2 linked regions of the Oreochromis niloticus genome follow. The protein of the gene in region 1 purifies or fractionates together with the protein of each later gene. This does not show direct contact. Links are inferred from orthologs where the notes say so. Each region holds a gene or a part of one and is shown in the gene's direction. Other genes may lie near its edges.

Region 1 (7,753 bases):
AAGTTACAACAGTTACCACTTTTATGGTTTTATTCAAATATCATACACAAACCTCTAAGCACCGCCACCATTAAGCTACAGGAGACACACACGTTTCTTTGCTTGTCTGTCGAGCATTTTTAAAGCTAGCATGGACGGTTGCAAAATGGCGCCAGCTAGTTACCGCGAAGATTTACACTAAAATTAACCAATTAATATCACCAAAAACAACACGGCACTCAGTCGTATAAGTGAACATTAACATTAGTTTATAATTATGTAGTCATACCCTAAGAGCAGTCAAATCGGCTCAATTTAAGCCATCAGCTAGCTCTTAGCTACAGAGCGCGCCGTTTTGTTGTCAGTTTTTCAAAGCTTCTCATTAACACCAAAACTCAAAAAGATAATATATCCAATTCACATACTGACGATTTTAAATAAAACCCATAAACAAACATAACAGCCATACCTTGGATCACTTTCGTTGTTCGGGGAAATTCAATGACTCCTCCTTGTTAGTCACTTCGCTATGTTGCCCTGAGGGCTGAGGAGGTGGTATTTATAGATTAAGCGGAGCAGCGCTCGAAGCCCGCCCCTGAACGTATCCAATTGGTCCAAACTGAAATCCCTAACGGAATATGATTAGTTCAGGAAAAAGGAGGCTCTCTGCCTCTGCGTGTGAAGTTAGAGCGGATCGTCAGATGTACCTTATTTTAAAAAGAAGCATGTCGTTATTTTGATTTTAATTATTCACCCGCAGCTTTTCTCTCTTATTCCACACAGTTATACATATAATTTTGTCTGTGTAATCTTAGAACCTGGGAATTCCTTTCTGAAAACATGGTGGTCACTGACCGCCCCCCTCTTTTAACTAATTAAGACAAGCGGGAACAATGCTGCCATACTTATGCTGTAGCCTGTACTATGTGAAAAGGCAAATGAAGTACACAGAAGACATTCTGAAAAAGCATATGTGCACCTCACAAATCGACATACACGCTCCATACATAAACCTCTTCATATATAAATGGGAAGCTTTAGTGTGATACATAATTCTGGAGCTGACAGAAACTCGATGGATGAAGCATTGTCCAACAGACCTAGGACACATTTCCTCGAACTCTGTGCCTGCTGTGAAAAAAAAAAACCGGAGAGAAGCGGGAGCGTACCAAGTCATCCTCATCACCATCATAAACGAAAAAGGTTCGGTTATTTGTATTCGAAATAATCTAATAATGATGCACTCGAATAAAGCCTTATCAGCACAGTGATATGATTGTACACTATTTATTTGCTTATTTAATTATATAAAATAATAAGCCTTTTTGTTATCTCAGGTAAAAGTTGCTTTAAAAGCGTACATAAATAGACAGTGTTCTTATTTCAAAGATTTTTCAATGAAAATGTTCAAAAAATGAAAAATAAATAGACAAATAAGCGCGAGAGCACTGAACATGCACGCGCGGAACGAAGCGGGCGTTGAGAAAGTGTAAGTACACGGACCTCTTCTCGGGTAACACCGGTGGTAAGTGTCTGGTTTGGGGATTGGACATGTTTTTAAAGAGACCGAAGAGCTAAAGAAATTTTAAAAATGTTTAAAAACGTATGCAGGGTTCACTGAATATGTTTGCATCGAGTTAAAAAACCGGAAATTCGCGTTTCGACTAAAAAACTACAGCTCTGAAGACTCAGCATGGCCGACCAGAGGCTGTTGTACATCGGTATATTATAACGAAATAACACACATGCATGTGTTCGACCTGTTATTACTGGACAGAACGGGGTTTTTAAATCTTTTAAGTGAACGCTTAAAAGATTTCAAGCAACTGAAACGCACATAAGGGTTTTATGTCGGTGTTATCATTTCTCACAGTTAAAGTGTTATATTGAAATTACATTGCTCTCAAAAGTGAGATAAACTAATGTTTGTGTGTCCTTTGTGTTCATTCAACAGATATCAAAGCTGAATCGAACAGCTCCACACCTGCTGCAGCCGAGAAGCCCCTCTGGACTCGCAGCGATAACGTCTTCAGGTTTAACTTCTTCCCTGACAGTTCTCCAGCAACTTCAGAGAAAACACCTGCATCGGACTGGACTGAGCCAACGAGCCAGATTTCCTTCACTGAACAGGGCTCTGCTTTTGCCTTCAACTTTCAAATTCCTCCTGCAGAGGACATGGACACAACAGACACCCCAAATACTTCTCAAGGTGACCGACAGTGCGTCCCAGAGGAGAAGCCTCCCCTTTCGCAGGAGGTTGAGTCTCCACCTGAACAATCTGAGCAATCAAAAACAAAGAAGAAGAAAAAGAAATCAGGGAAGAAAAACCCCTCGAGTATTGAGCCACTGCAGAAGCCAGCTGAGGGGAGTGAAGGTGCTGCAGAGGAGCTGGTCAGTGCGCAGTGCTTTAAAGTAATTACAGTGGGTTTGAGGTGAGCAGTTTGATTGGTTGATTTTATGTCTGAATGTGTTTTAGAGTCAAGAAGAGCAGCTGAAAAGGGAGCTGGACTGGTGCATCGAGCAGCTGGAGCTGGGCCTGAAGTCCCAGAAGGGCACACCGAAGCAGAGTTAGTGAGATTTGTACCTCAGAAGTACTATGATGTGGTTGGAAGGGACATGCAGTGAATCCAAGTGTGAACGTAGCCTAGACTAAACTAATATTCAGGATTCTTTAATGTTTAATCTATGATCTAAACAAGATCATACAAAAAAGTAAACTTCTAATCATGGTGTCACCTATTGAATATGTTCTCCCTTCAGAGGACGAGGCCTCGCGTGCACTGAAGACTCTGCGCAGCTCCAAAGCTCCTCTGCCCAAGAAGAGGCAGGTGATGAGAGCTGTAACTGGAGACTACAGAAAGAAGATGGAAGAGGAGAAGAGCAAGCAATTCAAACTCATTCAGAGCGGTGAGTGAATTTTGTAGCAGCGGATTCATTAGAATGGTTAAAAACTGCAGCTGGCTAACGGGTTTCTCTGTGCCCTGATAGAAATTGCATCAGCCCAGGTCAAACTTGTGTCAGAGTCCCCAAAGAAGTCTGTTTTCCACCGGAGAGCTGAAGTCAAAACTCAGACATCGCTTGCTGAGGAGAAGCTGCAGCACACTGAAGCCCAGGGTGCAGAGCTGACGCCGCAGACTCAGGAGGCAACACCGGCTTTTGTTTTTATCCCATCGAAGGAGGAGTTTCACTTCAATTTTCTCTGATTTGTCTGTCCTGATGCCAAGTCCTTCACAATGCATCATGCTGGAGCTAAAGTGCTACGTAGGCTGGCAGAACGGCACCACCAGAGATCTGTGGACAACCTTCTGGTGAACGCTGAAGATATGAGAAGAGAAGATGTCACAATCTCTGTGCTTACAGACAAAACCTTTAACTAATACATTTTTACAAAGCGTGATCCATTCACTGAATTAATGTGATTGCTCAAATCTCAAGAGAAGCTTATTCAAGTCCATTCAGGCTGACAGCATGGCGACTCGAGACATGTTACCATAAATACTGGAGTCCTGTGGATTACACCTGAGGTGCCAAAATATCTTGTATATTTAGAAAAACAGACAAATAAGTTTTTGTTGGACTTCTAAGATAATAATCATGTTAATTCAGAAAAAATGGTTCAAAGCATTCAAGTTTTTTTTATCATATTGCTAAATAAATACATTTTAAAAAATAAAACTTTGGTATTTTTGCTTGTAGTGTCTTCATTAAATGCAATGATAAAATGAAATAAAGATTTTTAAGTAAAATCTGAGTTTACAGTTAATAATCCATATTGATTCATAGTTTTTTTTTCATCACTAAGGCTAACATATATTCCACAAAGGCTTTATACATTCAAAAAGGAAATGCACCTCTTGATTCAGTAACTTGTAGAACCACTTTAAGGAGCAACAACTTGAGCACTAATTGTTTTCTGGGATTAATGTCCTCTCCTGGGGATGTTTATAGCATTAATGCTACAGCAAACTTCCAAAACTTCTACTTTTCACAGCTGCTGATGAATAATTTAGTTAAGTATTTGATTAGCAGTACCTTGCTGCAACTTATCCAATTAATTCTTATGGAAGCAGTAAGGATTTACTGCCTCTAGTTTTGCACACTGCATAGTCCTGTAAAACCTTCCTTTTCACGTGACTGTATGTACCGCTTTTTATTAAAAGGGAAACTGGCTAAGTTAGCTTTGATTTACTCATATATATTTTAAAGTTTAGTCACTAATCTCACTTTATGTTCAATCTTCACTTTATACAAATATGAAAATGTTATTGTTAATGACTGAGTTAAGGTTGATTCTTTAATTTGTCCCTTTTTGTCACGTTTTTACAAAGCTACACTCACAGACACAGTCAAAATGCCTCTAAAACTACAATACAATTACAAAAAAACAAAAAAATCACAATGAATGAAAATGTACACACAAATGTAAAAGCCACTGGAAGACATCAGATTGGGCAATGCACATCAATCGAATTTCCTGATTATTAATTCACACACATTTTTTTTTAAACTGTACTTTTCATTTACTTGAATATTTTGATTAAATGATGAAGTATTGCTAACTCCATGATAACACACAATAACACTGAATATGTTGTAAATGATTCATAGACTTTTAAACTCAGCCTGTGTGTGTAAAACAGAGAAGTTGACCTTGAGAGCAAACATGAATCAAGAGTTTGTGTAAAGAACATACATTCCTGTGTTTATTTCCCGTTTAAGGAAGCGTGATTCCTCAGATTTTCCCTTTAAAGTGTCTCTCAGACAGGATAGGGTGGTGCAAGGCTCAGCACGGACACATTAGAGTGTGACACACAACTAGAAAAGTTTCGGCTGCTGAGAAAACAAACTACCTGCTGACTGTAAGTTTGAACTCGTTATATTTTTCTGCACTCTGAAATACTCGTTTGCTTCTGTTGTCTTCTGAGTATTTAATTAGTTTATTTCACTGTGTTGGTTTTATTCCAGAGACCAAAAGTTTAGACGCTCACCTCGCTAAGCTAAATTAGCCAGAGGAGTCATGAGCCCTGTGAAATTACCGTTAGCTTTAAAGTAGCCGCTATTTGTGAGCCTGTATAAGTCAGGATTGTTTATGTTTTCCATCAACTGAAGCTACAGCATTTGGGGCTTCTTGCAGGCTCGTAAGCCCCTGGTTTTAAAGTTTGAAACCAGGGCGTTGTAGTTTGTTTAGAGCAGTTTATGGTGTCTCTGTTTCCCAGGAGAAAAGAGTGAAGATGTCCGAGTTAAGCGATGAGGCCAGTGAGTCAGAACAGCTGGGTGCCAGCCTCTCCCTGTGGCTGGGTGACTCCCTGGTGCGAGCTGAGGAGCTGGATGTCCCTCTGGACCTTCACACCGCCTGCTCCATCGGCCAGTACGACGTGGTGGCTGAGTGCATTAAAAAGTGAGGGCCTCTTAATACCAACATTTCCACACGGGCTAATATCCTCCACAGCTTATTCACATAACTGTGTGTGCTTTCAGGCGTGAGGTGGACCTGGATGGTAAGAACATTGGAGGATGGACCCCACTTATGTATGCGTCCTACATTGGTCATGACAACATTGCAAATCTGCTGCTGGAGGCCCGTGTGAATGTAAATTCCACCACCGCCAAAGGACTCACACCCCTCATGCTGGCCGCAAGCTGTGGGAACGAAAGTATCGCATACTTTCTGCTTCAGGTACAGAATCACCCTGAATGGGGGGGGGACAAAACAATGGCTCAGAGATTTGTGATGATGTGAAGCCTCAGAATGACAAAAAGAGTTTGAAAAGAGACAGAAAGCAAATAACAAGTTAAAATAAACTCCAAGAATTAGATGGGAAGCAGATGGACAGTAACTGAAGGGTAGATCCAGCCAAAAAAAGATGCAAAATAAACCCCAGCAGTTATAATGGCATGTTAAAACAGCAAATGATACACAAGGCACACTTGCATGCGGCCTTTTAGTCTGTGAGCATCACTTCTCTGAAGGGTATGTCAGGCCACAGGGGTATGTGTTCTCACAGCCTACCCACGTGTAACCTTTGTTTTAGAGGTTAACTAACATACAGTGGTTTCTTTTTGCCACTGTGGATTTCCATGAGACAATGAGTTTGGATCTTTATGTGTGTGTGTGTATATATATATATATATATATATATATATATATATATATATATATATATATATTATTGTGAATGCAATAACTCAAGGATGTCACTTGAAGGAGGAGGCTGAGGGGTAGCACTGTCAATGTTTTTTCTGCATGATATTGAAAATAACTGTCTGTGTTTCGAAGACGTGTTTTAAAAATCGCCTTTTAAAACTAACCACGCCTATCAACACTACTGCTCGCGTGTAATTTTGCCCTGTTTAGTAAATCTGGCCTTGGGTTTGGATTCAACTCTTTTTTTAACTTTAAATTTTATTGTGAACATTCAGCATTTTTTTTCTTTTCTTCTTCCTTTTTTTTTTTTTTTCTTCCTTATTAAACCCAAAAAGCAAGGGGCTGATTTGGAGTTGAAGGACTCTCGAGGCTGGACCGCTCTGTTCCACTGCACAAGCACAGGCCACCAACAGATGGTCAAGTTCCTGCTGGATAACAATGCTGACGCCAATGTCAAGTGAGTGTCTTTATTTGCTGTAAAAAAAGACCATCCAAAAAAATAACGATCTGTTCACACTTTTGAGATTTCCATGATTCTTCCCTCATACACAGGGAGCCAGGTTCTGGCTTCACGCCGCTGATGGAGGCTGCTGCTTCTGGGCATGAAATCATTGTTCAGTACTTACTTGATCATGTAAGTAGGTTACTGTGCTGGAACATACTCGTGTGTGAGTGCAAGTGGTTATGAGTACTTGGTCAGCCAGACCATGTCATTCTCCTTTTTTTGCCGCATCTCCATCTCCTGTCCCTCTTCAACATCTTAAAGATGGAGCCACATCACTGGAAAATGTAACTGACATGACTCGCACACCGCTGAGGATGGGTGGTGACGTTCCTTTCTCACAATTTGGTAATCCTTTGAATTTTCAGAAAGTTAAAGTGGACGAACGCAACACCAAAGGTGAGACGGCGCGTGCTCTGGCTATGATGTACGGCTATACCAAAATTGTCAGCCTCATTGACTCACGTTCTCCAAGAATTAAACCAGGTACTGGTTTAAACGGCTCAGCATCTAAAATTCCTGTCTTTACTAGGTCTTTCATTGCCTTTTAGTTTCTAATGTTTTTTTTCGGTGGGGGGGGGTTTGGTACGTGTGTTCTGTTTTGTCAGGACACTTTGAAGATCTGAGCTCCTCCGAGGACTCGGACAGCGCACCACCGAGGATACGGCCCAGCCGAAACCGAGCTAAAGGCATCAGCATCCACGATGGGCCTCAGGCCATCGCCAAGTTCCGAGTAGGAGGCACCAGCAAACTGTGTGGTACAGTGTCATGTAAAACATCCGGTCTTCAACCTGTATCTGTGCTGAGCCACACTTTGAACACCACGTTTGTTCTAGTTATGAAGTTAAATTGCATTTTTTTAAAAAAAAGCTGTTTCTAAGGGTTCCCACAGGTCCTTAGAAAGTATGAAATTAAAGTAAAAGAAATAAAGGTCTTAAAGTGCCTTACATTTCCAGTAAATCTGCTCTTGGTGGTTATTTTTAAGATTGGTAGAAAAAATCAGATTCATTTTTTATTACGTTTTTAAAAATTACTGTGCTTTAATGTGATTTGTTTTGAGCTACAGTCTCTTTATTATCACAGGAATTTACACATACACATTTAAAATTGTAGCTACATGAATTCAC
Region 2 (6,938 bases), on another chromosome or scaffold:
TTCTTTTTAAGTGTTTAAAATGTGCTTTCAGCCTCTGGGTGTAAAAAAATCTGCATATTTAGCAGTGAAAAGCTGGAATGCACTGAAACCTGTACAGAAACAAGAACACTGTGTGGGTCTTGTTCACAGCTAATACTGCTATTGTGCAAATTATGTGAAACTGACCTTTTTTTCTTTATTTCACAATGTTTGAGTTTGGCCTAAAGTGGATCATGTTTACAAATAATCAGATTAATTATTGTCTAATTGAGTTGGTCTTTGTATAAACCACTTAATTTTTTTAATGTAAAAAAAATTGCAAGTAAACTCAAATTAATTTTAAGCTTTCTGTAGTCATTTTAGCTTGTATTACCTATCGAACCTCAACAATGCAAATGCAGATTTCCATATTATTTCAGGTGGGAGTGTTTGGAGTTACGTATAACTGAAATTCCACTCTTTTTTTGGGAGTGACCAGTATCCGATCTTTCCACATAAGGTCACTACTAATCTTGTTTTACATACACGACTTAGCAACCCGCTGCACCAGTGGTGTCACAGCTTAAGCTCTCTAACATGTAAACAAAATGGAGAAAAGAAATTAGTGTAGGACCACCTGTTTTAGCTAGCATCCATTCCTAGCATGCTTCCTTGGAATGTTACAGGATTAATGGGCAACTGTAAAGTGCGGTCAGCAGACAAATGTTCATCCAGTGGTTCTAAAACTCCAGGTGGGGTTAAATAACATGGAATATATTATGGATTATGGAAACTTCAGCTCCCCCACTCTGCACAAAAATGATCAATTTCAGAACTCAGCACTGTGCAAAAGTCTTGGGCCGCCCCTCTTGTCCTTATATTTTACTTCCAAGGAGTCAGACCTTTGCAAAAAAAAATGTAAGTGATGTGAGCGATAGTCGTCCAGGCTTTATGACGGTCTTTCAGACTATATTGTTTGTTAAGCCACTTAATGCTGACTTATGAATATAATATTAATTTATTCTAATTTCTTTAGAGCTCTGAAAAATGCCAATCTACACACAAGCCATCAGGCGTTTGAACTGCTGACATACTGCACACACCATTACACACTCACTTTAACACGGTCACTTCGACCACTTTAAATCCTCACTGCACACGTTTTTGCACAAACTGTAAATACCAAACAATTGTCTTAAATTCTATAATATTTCATACTTTAGTATTTTGTTATTATTATAATTATTATTATTATTTTCTTCTTTAATATAACTGCACACTTCTATATGTTCATGTAAAGCTGAGGAGCACAAGCCAAAGAATTTCATGTTGCTACACTGTTTATCTGTACGTGACAATAAAACTTGAAAAAGGTCACAGTTTGACAGACATTAAATAGTATTTTGCTTTGCAGTGTGTTCTAAAACAAATCTGAGGAAACTGAACAGGTGGAGGACAAAAGATGAAGTGGCATGGCTTCATCTTTTGTCATGGTGCGTATGTGATGCTGATTTCATGTCCTATAGGAAAAAAATCCAGCAAAGACCTGACACAGGGCATGCAGGAGGCATCTCGCCATTCAGCTGATCCGTCTGCTGTTTGCCTCTTTTAGAAATGGTCAACAAGCCATTTTTAATAAAATGCCAAATTACACTAGAACCGACTGAAAAGCAGGTATTAGGTTTTATGGAGCGATGAATCCAAATCTAAATGACATCAATATGCAACACTATCAGTCATGGATGGGCCTCCCCAGAGCCCAGACCTCAACAGTGCCGAAGCAGTCTGGGATCATCTTGACAGGAAATGGAACAAAAGGCAGCCAACATCTAAAGCAGAGCTTTGAATGTCTTTCAAGGAGCCTGGAGAACTATTCCTGAAGACTACTTAAAGAAATGAGAAGAAAGCTTGTCTTAAAAAGTTGAGGAATAAAAGTGGTCATACCAAATGTTGACTTTCAAAAACTCTGGTTTGGCTTTATACTGGATTTCCATGTGTTTTTCCCGGAGAAATACAATGAAATGAGGGGTGGCCTAACAACTTTGGTTGTTGTTTTTATTGCCATCACTTATGGAATATCGTAACATTCACACTGCGGCCAAATTCTTGTAAATTCATGCTCGCTGTCATCAGATCTCATTTGTGGGAATTTCGTTCAGCACGTGTGTTCGAACACATCAGAGTTAAATGTCACACTTACAGTAAAAGGTCTAAAGCATCTCTGTAAACTCAGCGATTCAACCTACTTCATTTCCCCTGGAGGAAGAACCTTTTCCATGCTGGTTACCTGCGAGCGACACCTGAAAGTTTGAAAAGGAACAGAGCGAAATAGATGAGAATGCTTCCCTTTCTAAAAAAAATATCCCCAAATCAAAAGGAGATCCTCTCTGTTAAATAAACAATAAAAAAAAAGAACACAAAAAGTTTGCCATTGGTTTAAAGCGCCACATCAGTGCAGAGAGCCACTTTTAGAACAATGGAAACCCAACACGATTATTAAACAGTTTTCTACCAAACACGTGGAGGCATGCGTGTTGAACTACAGGAACTCGGGGTGCAGCTCCCCTCGCAGACTGATGCATTACTTTTCATCCATCCATCTAATTATTCCCTTAGAAACCTGAAATTTGAAGATACAAAAGACCATCCCTATCTGTCACTGAGCGGCATTGATCTTATTGAGAGAAAATGTGGGTGTAGAGGAAACCCAATATAACTCATGCCATTAAATTCCACACAGCATTATTCACATACAGAATTGACAGATTTCTGTGAGACGTTTCTTTTAATCTTCAACTGTTGTTGAAGAAAAAGGGGGAAAAAAATCCCACACTCCAGGCATCTCTCCTTTCTCCATATTTGCAGTGAGGTTAACAAAAAAGGCGATTGAAGTAGGGAGAAAAAACACAGCCCCACCTAACTTGTTGATTATTAACAATGGGGATGGGAAGAAGACAGATGTGTTTCCTGTGTATCAGCGCTGTTTGAATTGTCAGTCTGAAATCACCGCTGAAGCTCTTATCAAAGCAAAGTAAGCTGATCAGTTCCAGTTGCGCTCGCTGTCCACGCGAGTCAATCCGCGGCACCATTTTTTTGTCAATAAATTCTCTTAATATTCCCAATTAGAGACTCTGCGCGTGTCATGTGCACACGTGCAATGATAGCAAGCGAGACTGTGAGCAAATAACCGAGGATATGCGTGTGCTTCAGTGGATTCAGCACACCCTGGCTGCCTCTGCACACTTAAACCTTCTTACACTGCCTCAACAGATTGTCATGCAAATTCTGAGCAAAGTTGGAATACCAAATGTTTTAGTTTTGTTGCAACTTAAGAATGACATCCCAGACAGTGGTGGGTGGTATAAAGAAAAACGCAACGATTATGAGCAAAAATTGGCATAAAAAATAAAAAAGTCGAGACAATCGCGGGAGGCTTGGACAACAGGCCCACTTCACAGAGGTGACGTGGGCCTGTTGTCCTATGAAAGCTGGGATCATCTTCTGTTCAACCACAGAAGTGAACTGGAGAGGTGTGGATGGATTTTGCAACACGAAGGTGTAACGTTTTGGTATAATGCAACTTCTTCAAACTAAGCACAGAGCGATAACTGTAATGCTATTTATCCATCTAAATTATTCTGGTGTGAGCTGCACAGCTTTTGAGGTGCCTGCTATAGACATACCTGTTTTTCCTTTAATATAAGCAGATGCCACTTGTCTACAAGTGCGTTTGAAAAGCCCAGCAGCAATTAAAAGTGAAAAGCTCGAGAAAGAGCCAGTAAATGCACCATAAGTTGAAACAGGAAACTTCTCCTCTGTCCGTAAATAACACGCTTCAGTGTAAAGACAGCGCGAGGTGGTGATTCGAAGTCGCTCCTTTGAATCTCGCGGTATTTGACAGTTTCCCTTCGCTCTTTGACACTCGCCCCTCCCCTGCGCTCCGGGAATGCTGGGTTGTTTACATTACAGTCACACGGGTCAGCATTGTGGTGATGAGGGGGGCCTAGTAGTGGAGAGTCTGTCCGAAAACACGTACACATCTCGCCTGGCTGTGCGGCACAGGCGCTCTCTGCGAGACAACTTTCCAGCTCAGTCACGGTGCCACGCAGGAACAGAGGCCCGCCGAGTCCACTTCTCGCAGCGACCTTGGAAAGAAAGGGAAAGTCAAAACAAAGACAACCGCCATAACCATCAGGAAAAAGCCTCAGCGTGAAGAAGGAATAGCTTAGCAACAGTCTCCCACTTCCTGGTAAGAACTGACACGGCGTTAGCTGATAGTGAACTTTTTGAAACTCAGCTACTGCTAATGAACTCCTCGTAAGCTGCTGCTCTTTGCGCTTTAACTTCTTCGGAAAGTGACAGACTTTTTAAAAAGTTCGTAGTAGCCACCAGTTGCCCTTCAGACACAACTTTGTCGCTCATTTGAAGAAGTTTTGTGAAGTTCGCTAGCTAGGCTAGCTTGTTAGCTTCCTAGCATGTCGCTTTGCGGACTTTATCTCTATAAAACTGGACAGTTGAAGGTGTCAGTAAACGCTTCCAGCTGCTTTGTACGTTTATATTACAATGTGCGCAAAACGGCTTTGTGCTAAAGTGCTAAAGCGGCTAATCCTGCGGTGCCAACATGACAGTGGACACTTGTTGCTACAATGTTACAGTCATGTTACACGTAGTACACAACAGCTTTCAAACAGTAGTAATCACACAGCCTCGGTGATGTCTTTACAGCCTTTCTTTACATCCTTGGTTGTCAGTAGTTTATGATGTGAAGGTATTTTTTTATGTCAAAGACTTATTTTGTGTAATGTGTCAATCGTGATGTGCAACGTGTCTGTCAACATTGCTTACTCTACTTTGGATCTGAAGTCTCAGCTGTCAGTAAGGACATTTGTGGAGGAATTCCTAGTCGAGTAGTATAACATCCATGAACATGACTGCAGCAGGGCCAAAGCAGGGTTGGATATGGAGTGGATGCCTTCCACGAACCTCTGCTTGGCACCCATGCTCTGTAAATATAAACCCAGTAGTTTACATGCATCCCTACTGTAATTTTCCCGTGGATGGCAATTTTTTTTTTTATGTGTGGAGACTAAAATTTAAAACAACCAAGAGATATTTTGATAGAGGAAAAAAAAAAATGAAGTCAAGTAAATAATTTTGAGGTTTAGATTCAATAACACTGATGAAATTACTGTGTTCTGATGTTTTATAGATCAAAATCTAAATTGATTTATCTTACAATTATCACTGATAATGGGGAAAAAATAATGCTCTTTTTATAAATTTAATAAAAAATGAAAAATTTGAAGTGAATCTGCCTTAGTTTAGTTTCTTTTAGTTGTCATATGTGGGATTGTGTTATTAAACTCAAGCCAAAGTAGCTGTCAGACAAATTGCAAATATGTTATTATATGGAAGTTCAAAAAACAAACCCACCTCTGCATTTTCTTTTTTTTAATCTAGGAAAACATGTAAAGGCGTATTACAAAACACTTGTTTCTTAACCTTTTAGTAATTTTTGGAAAAGGCATACGCGCTTCCAGCTGTCTTTTTGTTCCACGCTGCCAAACACAATAAAAACTATACACTTGGTAGACGAGGTTTGTTTGGAAGAGAGCTGCAAGTCGTTATAAAGAAGTAATTTATTCAAATAAAAAATAAATCAGAGATCAGGCCTTTCTCGTTTTACTTCCTTTGTTGTGAGTCAGAGTAGTTATTGCAAAACCTTTACACACTCATGGCGTCCACAGTTTTGTTGGAACTTTGTAATTTCTCATCTTTAATTTTGAACATAATAATATTAAAAATACAAATTATAATAACAATGGCATGAGTAGAAAAACAAGTTGGGGGAAAAAAAGGAGTAAATACAAGCCAAAGGCACAACAAACAAAACAAATACCACCGGATTTCTCTGCACAGGTATGTGGGCGGCTTCATCTCCGCTAAGCCTAATCATCTCGGGGTCAGATGTAGGTTGAAAGCAGTATCCCGTGCCACGTTGCTGTCGCTGCCTATCACAGCCAAATATTTCAGGCGTCATACTATCACGTTTGGCTACGCTGCAGAGAGATGATTCAAACCAGAGTTAGTGGGAGCTGACATACCTTGTTGACCCAATTATTACTCACTTCTCTGTTGCCACATCCGATTATCGTCAGACAACAGGCTCGAGTCTGCCAGCGTCATCAGGTGATTGAGATGAACACTGGCTGGCTCTGTGAAGTTGACTATCAAGGAATGTGTCATGAACCGGATGATCAGAAAATGGCTGCCAAATGTTTGCATCAGTCTCTGTGATGAGGGATTTCTGCCAGTAACATCCCACTTTGAATTTGAGCTGATGAGAGGTGGATTACTTTTGACAGGCTCTGGCAAAACTTGGCTGTTTAGCCCCGTTCTGTTGTTTGGATTTAATAAAAGTCTTATTGAATGGCAACTCGGGGAAAGTAGAAACTGAAAATTGTTCATGTTAGAAATTGTTTAAGCCATTATTTATTGTAAGAGACATTGATGATGCCATTAATTGAAGAAATAAAGTTTTGTTTTAGAAGCACAGATATTTGATGGCGCCCGGGGTCACATACATACACATTGTCTGATAGCAGCACGACATTCAGAGCGAGGACTGAAATGCCATTCATCGGTGTGGAGAAATGTGCAGCACTGCAGCGGTGATTTAGCACAGTGGAATTTACCAAATAGCTCAATCTTGTGTGAGTTTCCTGTTTTAGCCCTGAAGCCGCCCCCCCTCCTGGATTAAAGATCAGATGAGACATTTGTCATCTGACCACTTTTAACAGTCATCTTGCCTTTGGGTTTTCACAGAGAACAAAAAAAATGTTGGCTCTTTTCTTTTCTTTCACAGAGCATATTTGAAGGAAGATGCTTCCCGAGGCCATTTCGAGCTACATTAAACGCTGTCTTTTGCATGATGTCAAAGACCTTGGCCAAGCATTGTGCAGAAAAAAAACTGGCAAAAG

What was found. The genes of interacting proteins can lie anywhere in the genome.
Region 2: the proteins of anks3 (region 1) and nek7 purify together in Homo sapiens (affinity purification with mass spectrometry; 3 studies listed by BioGRID and IntAct, with this or other methods). This does not show direct contact. The link is inferred for Oreochromis niloticus from reciprocal best matches to the Homo sapiens genes ANKS3 and NEK7.

The regions. Positions count from the first base shown.
Region 1 is NC_031973.2:19,315,215-19,322,967, reverse strand, and holds the start of anks3 (ankyrin repeat and SAM domain-containing protein 3), read left to right. Parts: upstream 1-4,735; 5' UTR 4,736-4,838; intron 4,839-5,195; 5' UTR 5,196-5,210; coding exon 5,211-5,377; intron 5,378-5,457; coding exon 5,458-5,656; intron 5,657-6,459; coding exon 6,460-6,581; intron 6,582-6,676; coding exon 6,677-6,758; intron 6,759-6,994; coding exon 6,995-7,112; intron 7,113-7,234; coding exon 7,235-7,384; intron 7,385-7,753. Other genes in the region: lg8h8orf33 (UPF0488 protein C8orf33 homolog), read left to right, coding at 1,059-1,182, 1,934-2,370, 2,456-2,546, 2,740-2,886, 2,968-3,182. UniProt on the Homo sapiens protein: May be involved in vasopressin signaling in the kidney.
Region 2 is NC_031981.2:1,440,426-1,447,363, forward strand, and holds the start of nek7 (serine/threonine-protein kinase Nek7), read left to right. Parts: upstream 1-3,920; 5' UTR 3,921-4,207; intron 4,208-6,938. UniProt on the Homo sapiens protein: Protein kinase which plays an important role in mitotic cell cycle progression. Required for microtubule nucleation activity of the centrosome, robust mitotic spindle formation and cytokinesis.